Linked DNA regions of Macaca fascicularis. The protein of the gene in region 3 interacts with the protein of the main gene of each other region in a biochemical or structural test. Links are inferred from orthologs where the notes say so. Each region holds a gene or a part of one and is shown on either strand. Other genes may lie near its edges.

Region 1 (4,148 bases), on a different chromosome or scaffold from region 3:
TGGGGACATTCACCTCATGTGTAAGTTACTCTTATCTCTTTTAATATACTAATGAATGCAAAAGCACACTCTCTAAATTTGCTGTGAACACATTTTATAGTCCTTTAAATGGCTTTTTACCATCTTTAATAAATAACCTGTTAATGAATCATTTTAGGAACAAATGCCATATCTCTACCAGAAAACTATATATTAAATTAAATTGCATATTCCTTTTCTTCAAAAGCATTTTAATTTTTGTTATTTCTCATTAAATCCAAAGCCAGCCAATCCATTTTAGTGGCTGCACTAAAACAATTCATATAGTGTCTTTTACATTCACATTGTATGAATATAAAAAATTGCCCTTTTATATTTTGTTTTCTGATATTTTTAATTTATTTTGAATGATGTACTGAGGGCAGGGGAAATGTATTTATAGCTTCCTAAGGTAAAGATCATGTTCTACTCAACAATTCTTGAAAACTGGTTTGATTCTATAAAAATGGGCCAATTTAAATCTATCAGTCATTCATTTTGTGAATTTTCTCTTTATGTTCAATTTCAATATTCTCTGTAGGGGAAATATGAGGAAATATTATTCCTTTATTTGGGTAGGAATTCCCTCTGTACTCCTCGCTCTCCCTGTAACAAAAGGTGTTGGTAGTAATAAATTCTATGTGTCCATTTTGAATGCATGGTTAATGTTGGGGTATGGCAAAATTCTTATATCCTATTTAACCATTTATTCTAATTATAAACTCTATGCAGCTTAACCCTGTAATTGACATCTGAAGTTAAACTGTAGGCAGGATATTTCTACTACCAAAGAAGATAGTGCTGAGAGCAGAAAAAAGGCAGTAGAATAGAGCTCCATGAGACAATTTTTTTCTTGCTCTTTGTTCTTTGTGAAAAGTAATATCATTTAATTAAAGGGCATAGCTTATCTGAGTGTTCTAGAATTAATCCTAGTATTAAATCATCCACAAAAAGTTAATCTTGCATGTAACGTTAAGCTTTTATTACAGTAATTTCCTAATTTTTTAACTTAAAATTGATTTTCTTTCAAAACTAGATGAGCATTTGTCATCTTCATTGTATACAGTAATTCTTTGCTGCCTTATCACTTTCAAAAATGGTATCTTCACAGTCAGCTTTTAAAAGTAGTGCTATTTTAGTTTATTAGATAGAGTTCATTTAAAATATATAACATGTATGTTCTTATGTTAAACAGCTATGCAGTTATCACATGGGAAGTGTTATCCAGAAAACAGCCTTTTGAAGGTAAGTATGTTTTGACTTTTTTATGCTCAATAACATCATGTTAGTAGGTCACTCTCAGAACTATCTAAAAATCATGTTATTTTAAATCTGCTTATTCATTTTGTGGAAAACACACTAAAACGACAATTTATCAATTGTGAATGCATCACATACTGCAAAATATACTGGGTTAAGGATCCAGTTGTGAATCTGCTATATACTGGAAAATGTACTGGATTAAGGATCAGAAAAACCCAGATTTTAATTCTTGTTCTGACAGTAATTAACTCTGTGATCAAGTCACAAAATCTCTTCAGTCCTCATTTTTGTCACTTGCATAGTAAGAATTTTAAATTACTATTTCTAAGTTCTAGTCTAGCTGTAAAATTATTTATATGATAATTTAATTACTATTCCCTCTATAAAGACTAGCAAATATTGAAGATTAATCTGTCCTTTTTATTCCCTGAAAATATTATTTCTTTATTCTGAGGTTTGTGTAGGTCAGCTTGTTGTGTAACAAAAAACAACCTTGGAATCTCCATAGCTTATGAAATAAACATTTATTTCTCATTCACATTAAATATTAGTTGCTGTAGCCCTTCTTAGTTCGGCTAGGTTTTGCTCAGCTCTGCTTTACAAATATTCTGTTTACCAAATCCAATCATATGGCCAAGCCCAGAATTAATGAGGTGAGGATATAAACTCCTTCCATAGGAACAGACAAGTCTGGCAATGGTTTGGGATATATATATTCCTTTTACAGAAAGGGGGATAAGACATTATTCCTAAAATTTTAATATTCACTTATTTTCTTTTAGTTAGTTTTAGATGTAAGTAATATGCTGAATCGTAATATATTTCTAATGAATGCAATCTATTTGTTTTGACAGATGTCACCAATCCTTTGCAGATAATGTATAGTGTGTCACAAGGACATCGACCTGTTATTAATGAAGAAAGTTTGCCATATGATATACCTCACCGAGCACATATGATCTCTCTAATAGAAAGTGGATGGGCACAAAATCCAGATGAAAGACCATCTTTCTTAAGTGAGTATATAGTTTTAACATGGACTCTTTGAATTACAGAATTAGTTAATATACTGTGAATAAAATATTCCTTGAAAAATTGTGCAAATTAGATGACTAGCTAGAAGTTGTTTAAATTATTTTCCGACTTATCATAGCATTTATATATGAGTAACTCCTTCTAGAGCAGAACTGAGAATTCCTAACAAAAAAGAGAAATTGTGTGATAGGAGTAACAATTTCCTTCATATATTTAACAAATATGTCTTGAACCCCTACCATGCGCTGTGTATATACTGGAGTAAGCCCTGGGAACAGAGTAGTAAAGAAGACAAACTTTCTGTAGCTAGTTCATATTCTAGTTGAGAAGGCAGAGTGAAAACAAATAAATAAGCAAGACACAGATTGTGACAGTCTTATTAGGAAATAAGCAAGGTAATAGACTAATTAAGGGAGGGAAACAAAGGCCTTTTTCTAGGAGCGAGCATTTGAGGTGAGATTTGAAGCTTGAAAAAGAGCCAGTCATTCAAATGCTGAAGAAAAAGTATTCAGCCAAACAAAACAGCAAGCATAAAGGCTCTGAGCCTAGAAGAGAAAAAGTTTTATATTCTCAAGAAACAGTGAGAAGGCCTGTGTAGCTAGAATATAGTAGGCAAGGAAAGGAATTAGATGATATTGGAGAGGTAAGAGAGAGGCTATTGGCCATCATTAAAAGGTTAGATTTTTATTCCAAGTGGAATGGAAAGCCATTAAAGTATGTTTTGCAGGGAAGTGACATGATCTGATAAGAAGTATAGGTGAAATTCTTACTGCTCTGTGGAAAGTTGATTGGAGAAAGGCAAAAGTAGAAGCAAAGAGGCTAGGAAAGAAACTTTCAGGAATTTTCTAATTGAGGTGGAAATTCTGAAGATAGAAGAGTTACAGAATTAAGATAGTATTTCAGAGGTAGAATGGATCAGACATCCAAATGTAAATGTAGGAGAAAATCTTCATGACCTAGGGTTAGGCAGAATCTTTAAATATGACATCAAAAATAAATAGGATTCATTAAAAAATTTATAATCAGACTTTGAAAACATTGGAAACTTTTACACTTCAAAAGGTCCTATTGAGAAAAGAGACAGCCAGGCGTTTAGTGTCCACGACTTTAGTCCCAGTTACTTAGGAGGCTGAGGCAGGAGGATCACTTGAGCCCAGGAGTTTGAGGATGTATCATAATAGTGCACTGTGATCGTGCCTGTGAAAAGCTACTGCACTCCAACCTGGGCAACATAGCAAGACCTCATTTCCAAAAAGGAAAAAAAAAGCAGAACCACAGACTGGGAGAACATATTTGCATAACATGTATCTGCTAAAGGGCTTGATTCTGGAATATATAAAAAACCCTGACAAGTCAATAATAGGACAGATAGCCCTATTTTAAAATGAGTAAAAGATCTGAATTTCACCAAGGGAGATATACAAATAGCTAAAAAGCACATAAAATGATGCTTAATATTATTAGTCATTTGGAAATGCAAATTAAAACTGCAATGAGTTACCACTTTATACCCACAAAAATAGCTATAATTAAAGACAGAAAATAACAAGTGTTGACAGTGATGTGGCAAAACCAAAATCCTTATACATTGTTAGTGGGAATATAAAATGATACTGCCTCTTTGGAAAACAGTTTGGCAGTTTCTTAAAAATGAAAGATAAATTTACCATACAACCAAGCAATCCACTAACAGGTAACCCAAGATAAATGAAAACATGTGTTCACACAGAGACTTGTATGTGATTAGTGATAGGAGCATTGTTTATAACAGCCAGCAAGTAGAAACAGTCATAATTACTGTTGCTACTACTACAACAATACATGAATCTGTT
Region 2 (4,248 bases), on a different chromosome or scaffold from region 3:
CCGAGTAGCTGGGATTACAGGCATCCGCTGCCATGCACGGCTAATTTTTTTGTGTTTTTAGTAGAAACGGGGATTCACCACATTGGCCAGGCTGATCTCGAACTCCTGACCTCACGTGGATCCGCCCAGCTTTGCCTCAAAAAGTGCTGGGATTACAGGTGTGAGCCACCACGCCCGGCCGGCAACACATTTTTTTGACTGAATGGACATGGTTATTGCTGAATAAAGGTATGGTGTATGATTTTATTCTTCCTTATAGTTTTAGATTCTGAATTTCCTAAAAGGACCTAATGTCATTGCACATAGTTATTACATGAAGATAACGAAACGGGGGGTGGAAAGCAGTGCCCTCCGATGGCCCCGAGCAGGAGTTAGTGACAGGGAGCGTGGCTCCTGCAACCACAGTCCCTCTTTTTTTTTTTTAAGACGGACTCTCACTCTGTTTCCCAGGCTGGAGTGCAGTGGTACGATCTCGGCTCACTGCAACCTCTGCCTTCTGGGTTCAAGCGGTTCTCCTGTTTCAGCCTCCCAAGTAGTTGGGATTAAAGGTGCCTGCCACCACATCCGGTTAATTTTTGTATTTTTTATTTATTTATTTTTTGAGACGGAGTCTCGGTCGGTATCCCAGGCTGGAGTGTAGTGGCGCCATATCAGCTTGCTGCAACCTCCACCTCCTGGGTCCCGGTTCAAGCAATTCTCCTGCCTCAGCCTCCCGAGAAGCTGGGATTACAGGCACACGCCACCATGCCCAGCTACTTTTTTTATTTGTTATTTTTAGTAGAGATGGGGTTTCACCATGTTGGCCAGGCTGGTCTTGAACTCCTGACCTCGTGATCCACCTGTTTCAGTTTCCCAAAGTGCTGGGATTACAGGCGTGAGCCACCATTTTGTATTTTTTTTAGTAGAGATGGGGTTTCACCACGTTGATGAGACTGGTCTCGAACTCCTGAACTTGTGATCCACCCGCCTCGGCCTCCCAACCAAAGTGCTGAGATTACAGGCGAGAGGTGAGCCACGGCGCCCAGCCACCACAGGTTCCTTTTTTTTGAGACGGAGTCTGGCTCTGACTCCAGGCTAGAGTGTAGTGGCGCCCTCTCAGCTCACTGCAACCACCGCCTCCCAGGTTCAAGCAATTCTCCTGCCTCAGCTTCCTGAGTAGCTGGGACTACAGGTGCGCGCCTCCACGCCCGGCTAATTTTTGTATTTTTAGTACAGACGGGGTTTCACCATGTTGGCCAGGATGGTCTCAATCTCTTGACCTTGTGATCCTCCCTCCTCGGCCTCCCAAAGTGCTGGGATTACAGGCGTGAGCCACCGCGCCCGACTGACAGGTTCCTCTTAAAGCCTAAACCGTGAACCCCAGGGAAAGGACCTGCAGGTCCGGCCACGCCCAGGCCTCCTTAGCGCGCCAAGATGGCGGCCGCCGCGCCCCGCGGTCGGAGCCGAGCGGTCCCGAGCGCTTCCGAGCATTCCCGAAGTCCAGAGAAACTCCGGGAGCGGCGCGGGCGGGAGCGGCCCCGCCCGGAACCTGGGAGCGGCGACGCCGGCGCGGGGGAGGGGAGGCCGGATGTGAGTGGAGCGGCCATTTCCTGTTTCTCTGCAGTTTTCCTGAGCTTTGGGTGGTGGCCGCTGCCGGGCTTGAGCTTCCAGTCCGCGGAGGGCGAGGCGGCGTGGACAGCGGCCCCGGCACCCAGCGCCCCGCCGCCCTCAAGCCGCGCGCTCGTCCGCCGCGCCCCGAGCCCGCCGCTTCCTATCTCAGCGCCCTGCCGCCGCCGCCGCGGCCCAGCGAGCGGCCCAGATGCAGGCCATCAAGTGTGTGGTGGTGGGAGACGGGTGAGTGCGCGGCCGGGGCCGGACTGGGGACGGCGGGGTCGGGCGCGGGCGGGGGTCTGGCCCGGACTGAGACCCAGGCAGGCAGGCCGCTCGCTGCGGGCTCGCGTAGGCGGTGGGCCTGGGCCTGTATCGCGGGGCGGGGGCCGCGGGCTGGCGCCCCCACTGGACCCTGACTTCCCGGGCGGCGCGTGCCAGGTTCCGGCTCTGGATGGAGGAGGGCCTTGCCGCTCGCCGGCCGGAGGGAAAAGTGAACTCCACCCTCCGGCTTTCTTCCCGGACGCCGCCCGCCGCCCTCCTCGGGAGCGCTCGTAGAGGAAGCGCTCTTGGAGATTTTGACCATTTTTCCAAAAAGGGACTCTTTCTTGTTTTTTGCATGAACCTCTCAATTCGCCTTGAGAGCTGTGTTGGGAACGCGGCGGTCAAGTCGATATTTGATGCATGCTTGATTGTGCGGGCCTCTTTGGTGCCCCCAAACTTTTCTTTAGAAAAACATATTTTTTTTCATAGACCGGTTCTCGCTGTGTTGCACAGGCCGGTCTCGAACTCCTGGGTTCAGGCGATCCTCCCATCCCAGCCTCCCAGAAATGCTGGGATTACAGGCGTGTGCCACCACGCCTGGCTAATCTTTAAAACTTTTTGTAGAAATGGGGGTTGGGGGTCTCGCTGTGTTGTCCAGGCTGGTCTCGAATTGCTGCGCTCAAGTGATCCTCCTGCCTCTCAGCCTCCAAAAGTGCTGGGGTGACACCGCGCCCGGCTTCTAAACTTATTTTCGAGCAGGATTTTTCAACTTACACTTCTGCCACTGTTAGGATTCTTAAAATTGTTGTTTTCGCGTATTCCGTGGAGAAAGTTTTTAAGATGCTGGCTGGGAGGAGCCGGCTGTAAGGGGCACTGTTTTTTCTTTTCTTTCTTTCTTTCTTTTTTTTTTTTTTTTTTTTTTAACGTGGTGTGGTCATTGATAAACTGTTCTTTGCTTAACGCGTTAGGTATGGGATGTAGCAGAACTGGCCCCCTGTGACTCCAGGCATTGCTTTTCATGACTGTCTGTGGTGGTTACAGGCCCTGGAGGAAGACAAGACTTGTCTTATGCAGTTTTTTTCTCCCATAGAAACAAGAATCTCAGTGTAACCCAAGCAAAATCGCGCGTCTCAGCGTTGCTTGTATAGGTTAGTGTTAGCAAGGAAGAATTACTACCAGTTTAATAAAACTCAGTGCAACTGGTACATGTTCCAGTAAAGTCCAAGGCAAGCTCTGGCATCACGGTTAACTGGTTGATATTCTTCAAACTTGTCATTAGGACAGATTTTGGTTCTTGCAATTCAGATGCAAGAAGGATAATTAGACAACTGATTTTTGTAAGATGCCCATCTGTCATATTTGTCTTGGAAATGTGAAATAATATTAATGCCTCATAATTCTGTTTATATAATAACTAAAAATTCTAACTTTCACTTATTTAAGAGTATGTAGGCTATCCAAGGGTTTTTTTTTTTTTTTTTTTTTTTGAGACGGAATCTCATTCTATTGCCCAGGCTGGAGTGCAGTGGCACAATTGCGGCTCACTGCAACCTCCGCCTCCCAGGTTCAAGCGATCCTCCTGCCTCAGCCTCCCTAGTAGTTGGGATTATAGGCATGCGCCACCGTGCCAGGCTAATTTTTGTATTTTTTAGTAGAAACGGGGTTTCACCATGTTGGCCAGGCTGGTCTCGAACTCCTGACCTCAGGTGATCCACCCGCCTGGGCCTCCCAGAGTGTTGGGATTACAGGTGTGAGCCACCGCGCCCAGCCCAATTTTTTTTTTCTTTCTTTCTTTTTTTTTTTTTTTTGAGACAGGGTCTCACTCTGTTGCCCAGCCTGGAGTGCAATGGCGCTCTCTCTGTTCCTGCAACCTCTGCCTCCCGGGTTCAAGCAATTCTCATGCCTCAGCCTCCCAAGTACCTGGGATTACAGGCACACATCACCACACCCAGCTAATTTTATTTATTTATTTTTTATTTTTTTGGTAGAGATAGAGTTTCGCCATGTTGGCCAGGATGGTCTCAAACTCCTGACCTCAAGTGATCCCCCCGCCTCGGCCTGTTTTTTTTTTTTATAAGTCATATTGCTGATAATTATTTGAAAAATGCTGAAACTAAAACATAAGCATAGCAGATACGTTTATTTAATACTAACCGATTAAGGACCTCTGCCGTTTGAATTGGCTGTTTTATCTAGTCAGATAACTTGTCGAATGCCTATCCTGGAATCTGGACCCTCCCTTCAAATACCCACTCCACCGCTTACATGGGGTAACCCTAAGCACATCCCCCACCTCCCAGGAGAGGTGGTTCAGTGGGAGGTCAACAAGAGTAAACAAGATGTTGGTTAACTACTTTGCAGGTGCCCCTTGCTGAGTGCTTAGTAAGTGCCTGGTAC
Region 3 (4,169 bases):
TCGGCGTTCTTTTAATGTAATACATTGAAACGAAGATATTTCGGTGGCGGTGATATTTCATATTTCATAGTTGCCACTGCGCTCTGTCATTCCAGTAGTCTGTTGTGTATTGTGAGAAACAACTCTGGGTAATTATTGGGTAAATCCCATAGTTTCTATTCTTTTCTCTTCCATCCTATCCCCTGTCCAGCTGCAGTTTGCATAAAGAGAATGCTGCAGTACGGTGCTCGCAGATAAAAGTCTTTCGTTTAAAGATAGTATATAAAAAATCGCGTGTAATTAAAGCAATCATGCCAGTGGGCGTCAGGCCACTGTTTCACAGGCCGCTGTGTTAGGTTTTGTTTTCGGTTGTTTTCTACCGTCGTTGCTTTGAAATTGTAAGGGATTGGCAGAGTTTAAGGGTTTATATTAATGAACTCGTGGTACATTTTACTGCAGTTTTCCTAGTCGCGGAGAGACTTGATATTACAAACTAACGTTGCTGTCTGATTACTGCTGTACTGCTGTTGACAGGGTTTAGTGGAGTACCTTGTCGCTCTCTCTGCCTTTTTCACCAATGTTCCTTTGCCTCCAGCAGAGTGCCAAAGATACCTTTAGGTCAGAAAAGGGGAGGAGAGCAAGGACAAAATGTTTTCCTGTGTGAAAATTTCCATCTGTCTCTAAAGTTGTGCTTTTTAAAGACACGTATAGTTAGTGCTATGGGAGTATGTTGCATTTATTTATTTTAATTAAGAGCTTTTTCAGTTAGAAAGTTGTGACAAATTGCTGGAAATTAAGATGTGTTATCTAAAATGTAAATTATTCTTAGACTTTAGTGAATAAATTGAAGAGTATGTAAGTTCTATTTGGCATGCAAATACGGTTTTCTAAAATACCTTTTGTTTTTTCTTTTCAGATTTACAGCCCTGAAGAATCCTCCTCTCCCTTTCCCCTTGCAGTAATAAATCCCATTTTGGAGATCTCGAAGCTTTATAAAGGGATATAGTTTGAATTCTATGGAGTGTAATTTTGTGTATGAATTATATTTTTAAAACATTGAAGAGTTTTCAGAAAGAAGGCTAGTAGAGTTGATTACTGATACGTTATGCTAAGCAGTACTTTTTTGGTAATACAGTATTTTGTTAGGCGTTTCTGATAACACTAGAAAGGACAAGTTGTGTCTTGTGACAAATTGATTAATGTTTACAGCATGACTGATAATTATAGCTGAATAGTCCTTAAATGATGAACAGGTTATTTAGTTTTTAAATGCAGTGTGAAAAGTGTGCTGTGGAAATTTTATGGCTAACTAATTAAGTTTATGGAGAAAATACCTTCAGTTGATCAAGAATAATAAAGTGGTATACAAAGTTAGGAAGAAAGTCAACATGCTGCAGGAAATAGAAACAAATACAAATGATATTTAACAAAGATAGAAGAGTTTATAGTTTGTGAACTTTAAGCCAAATTCATTTGACATCAAACACTATAACAGGCACAGGTTCAACAAAGCTTGTGGGTGTTGACTTCCCCAAAAGTTGTCAGCTGAAGTAATATAGCCCGCTTATGTAAATACTATGGTGATAAGCTGTGTGAACTTAGCCTTTAAATAGTGTGACCATATGAAGATTTTAATTACTTTTGTTTATTGGAATAAAATGAGATTTTTTGGGGACATTATATTAAAGTGCTTATAGGGAAAGAAGCCTGCATGTAATTTTTTACCTTGTGGCATAATCAGTAATTGATCTGTTACCCAGGCTTCATAGCTTGTAACCAAATATAAATAAAAGGAGTAATTTAGGTATTCTGTAGTTGCTTAGAATTTTGAGAATATAAATCTCTGTGAAAAATCAAGGAGTTTCAACATTTTCAAAAGGGCATCCACCTCTCAGGGCTTTAGGTTAGTATTACTCAAGATTATGAACAAATAGCACTTAGATTACTTAAAAGAGTTACTACAACCCCAAAGACTTGTGTTCCAAGTAGTATCTTGGTAATTCAGAGAGAGACTCATCCTACCTGAATATAAACTGAGATAAATCCAGTAAAGAAAGTGTAGTGAATTCTACGTAAGAGTCTATCATTGATTTCTTTTTGTGGTAAAAATCTTATTTTGTGTGAAGAAATTTCATGTGACTGTTTTAGCTATCAAACAGTACTGTCACCTACTCATGCACAAAACTGCCTCCCAAAGACTTTTCCCAGGTCCCTCGTATCAAAACATTAAGAGTATAATGGAAGATAGCACGATCTTGTCAGATTGGACAAACAGCAACAAACAAAAAATGAAGTATGACTTTTCCTGTGAACTCTACAGAATGTCTACATATTCAACTTTCCCCACCGGCGTTCCTGTCTCAGAAAGGAGTCTTGCTCGTGCTGGTTTTTATTATACTGGTGTGAATGACAAGGTCAAATGCTTCTGTTGTGGCCTGATGCTGGATAACTGGAAACTAGGAGACAGTCCTATTGAAAAGCATAAACAACTATATCCTAGCTGTAGCTTTATTCAGAATCTGGTTTCAGCTACTCTGGGATCCACCTCTAAGAATACTTCTCCAATGAGAAACAGTTTTGCACATTCATTATCTCCCACCTTGGAACATAGTAGCTTGTTCAGTGGTTCTTACTCTAGCCTTTCACCAAACCCTCTTAATTCTAGAGCAGTTGAAGACTTGTCTCCATCGAGGACTAACCCCTACAGTTATGCAATGAGTACTGAAGAAGCCCGATTTCTTACCTACCATATGTGGCCATTAACTTTTTTGTCACCATCAGAATTGGCAAGAGCTGGTTTTTATTATATAGGACCTGGAGATAGGGTAGCCTGCTTTGCCTGTGGTGGGAAGCTCAGTAACTGGGAACCAAAGGATGATGCTATGTCAGAACACCGGAGGCATTTTCCCAACTGTCCATTTTTGGAAAATTCTCTAGAAACGCTGAGGTTTAGCATTTCAAATCTGAGCATGCAGACACATGCAGCTCGAATGAGAACGTTTATGTACTGGCCATCCAGTGTTCCAGTTCAGCCTGAGCAGCTTGCAAGTGCTGGTTTTTATTATGTGGGTAAGAAGCAAATAACTACATTTTATCATTTTATTTTGATTTACATATTAGAACATAATGTGTTTTCAATATTTAGTCTTTTTTTTTTTCTTGAAGGTCGCAATGATGATGTCAAATGCTTTTGTTGTGATGGCGGCTTGAGGTGTTGGGAATCTGGAGATGATCCATGGGTAGAACATGCCAAGTGGTTTCCAAGGTAATTGTTTTGAAAAAGGTATTTGTACAAAAAACTCTGCTTAAAAGAAGTAGGCATGCTTACATGATTTAGTTTACCGTTAAATTATAACAAAGCCTCTTTTGTGCCGCTGGGGAATTATCCTTCTAAAAGATCACATTTTAACTTTAATTGTTTTGTTGAAAAATATTATGCAGTCTTCTGTGTACTTTTGTAAGTCAGTTACAAGTATAGCCATACATTTTATTTATTGCCCGTCTTCTTTTAAACAGTACTTAAGGATTACAAAGACATATAAAATAGATTAAAAAGAAGTTAGAAAAAGGTAAGAACAGGAAAACAAGAAGGGACATAGAATGGATGCAGGAATAAGGCAAATGTAAAAATGCATATATTAAGAGCATATCTTGGCTGGGTGCAGTGGCTCACACCTGTAATCCCAGCACTTTGGGAGGCCAAGACAGGTGGACCACCTGAGGTCAGGAGTTCAAGACCAGCCTGACCAACATGGTGAAACCCTGTATCTACTAAAAATACAAAAACTGACTGGGCATGGTGGCACACGGCTGTAGTCCCAGCTTCTCGGGAGGCTGAGGCAGGAGAATCGGTTGAGCCCAGGAGGTGGAGGCTGCAGTGAGCCAGGATCATGCCACTGCACTCCAGCCTGGGTAACAGCGAGACTCCATCATCTGACTGCCCATTTTAATTGTAATTGTAAGTTTTTTTTTCTGTACAATTTTCTTTTTTTATAATCTGTCATTTACCTCTTTTTAGCCACTTTATCTCTAGCAGTGTCTTTTTATTGTAGCCTAGAAAGAATTTAGGGGCAGTGTTATTAGTAGAAATAAAATTAGAGATTAATTGTGTTTGTAATTGAGTAGCTGTGTGAACTGAGACATCATTTGTAAAATGAGGAGGGGTTGGCCTGGATAATTTTTTTAAAATA

Evidence for each region.
Region 1: the proteins of BIRC2 (region 3) and RIPK2 form a complex in vitro, tested with the Homo sapiens proteins (4 studies listed by BioGRID, with this or other methods). The link is inferred for Macaca fascicularis from reciprocal best matches to the Homo sapiens genes BIRC2 and RIPK2.
Region 2: the proteins of BIRC2 (region 3) and RAC1 form a complex in vitro, tested with the Homo sapiens proteins (2 studies listed by BioGRID and IntAct, with this or other methods). The link is inferred for Macaca fascicularis from reciprocal best matches to the Homo sapiens genes BIRC2 and RAC1.

What each region holds. Positions count from the first base shown.
Region 1 is NC_088382.1:99,475,661-99,479,808, forward strand, and holds part of RIPK2 (receptor-interacting serine/threonine-protein kinase 2), read left to right. Parts: intron 1-1,213; coding exon 1,214-1,263; intron 1,264-2,135; coding exon 2,136-2,297; intron 2,298-4,148.
Region 2 is NC_088377.1:45,992,491-45,996,738, reverse strand, and holds the start of RAC1 (ras-related C3 botulinum toxin substrate 1), read left to right. Parts: upstream 1-1,591; 5' UTR 1,592-1,798; coding exon 1,799-1,833; intron 1,834-4,248. UniProt on the Homo sapiens protein: Plasma membrane-associated small GTPase which cycles between active GTP-bound and inactive GDP-bound states.
Region 3 is NC_088388.1:101,357,804-101,361,972, forward strand, and holds the start of BIRC2 (baculoviral IAP repeat-containing protein 2), read left to right. Parts: upstream 1-1,125; 5' UTR 1,126-2,153; coding exon 2,154-3,048; intron 3,049-3,144; coding exon 3,145-3,244; intron 3,245-4,169. UniProt on the Homo sapiens protein: Multi-functional protein which regulates not only caspases and apoptosis, but also modulates inflammatory signaling and immunity, mitogenic kinase signaling, and cell proliferation, as well as cell invasion and metastasis.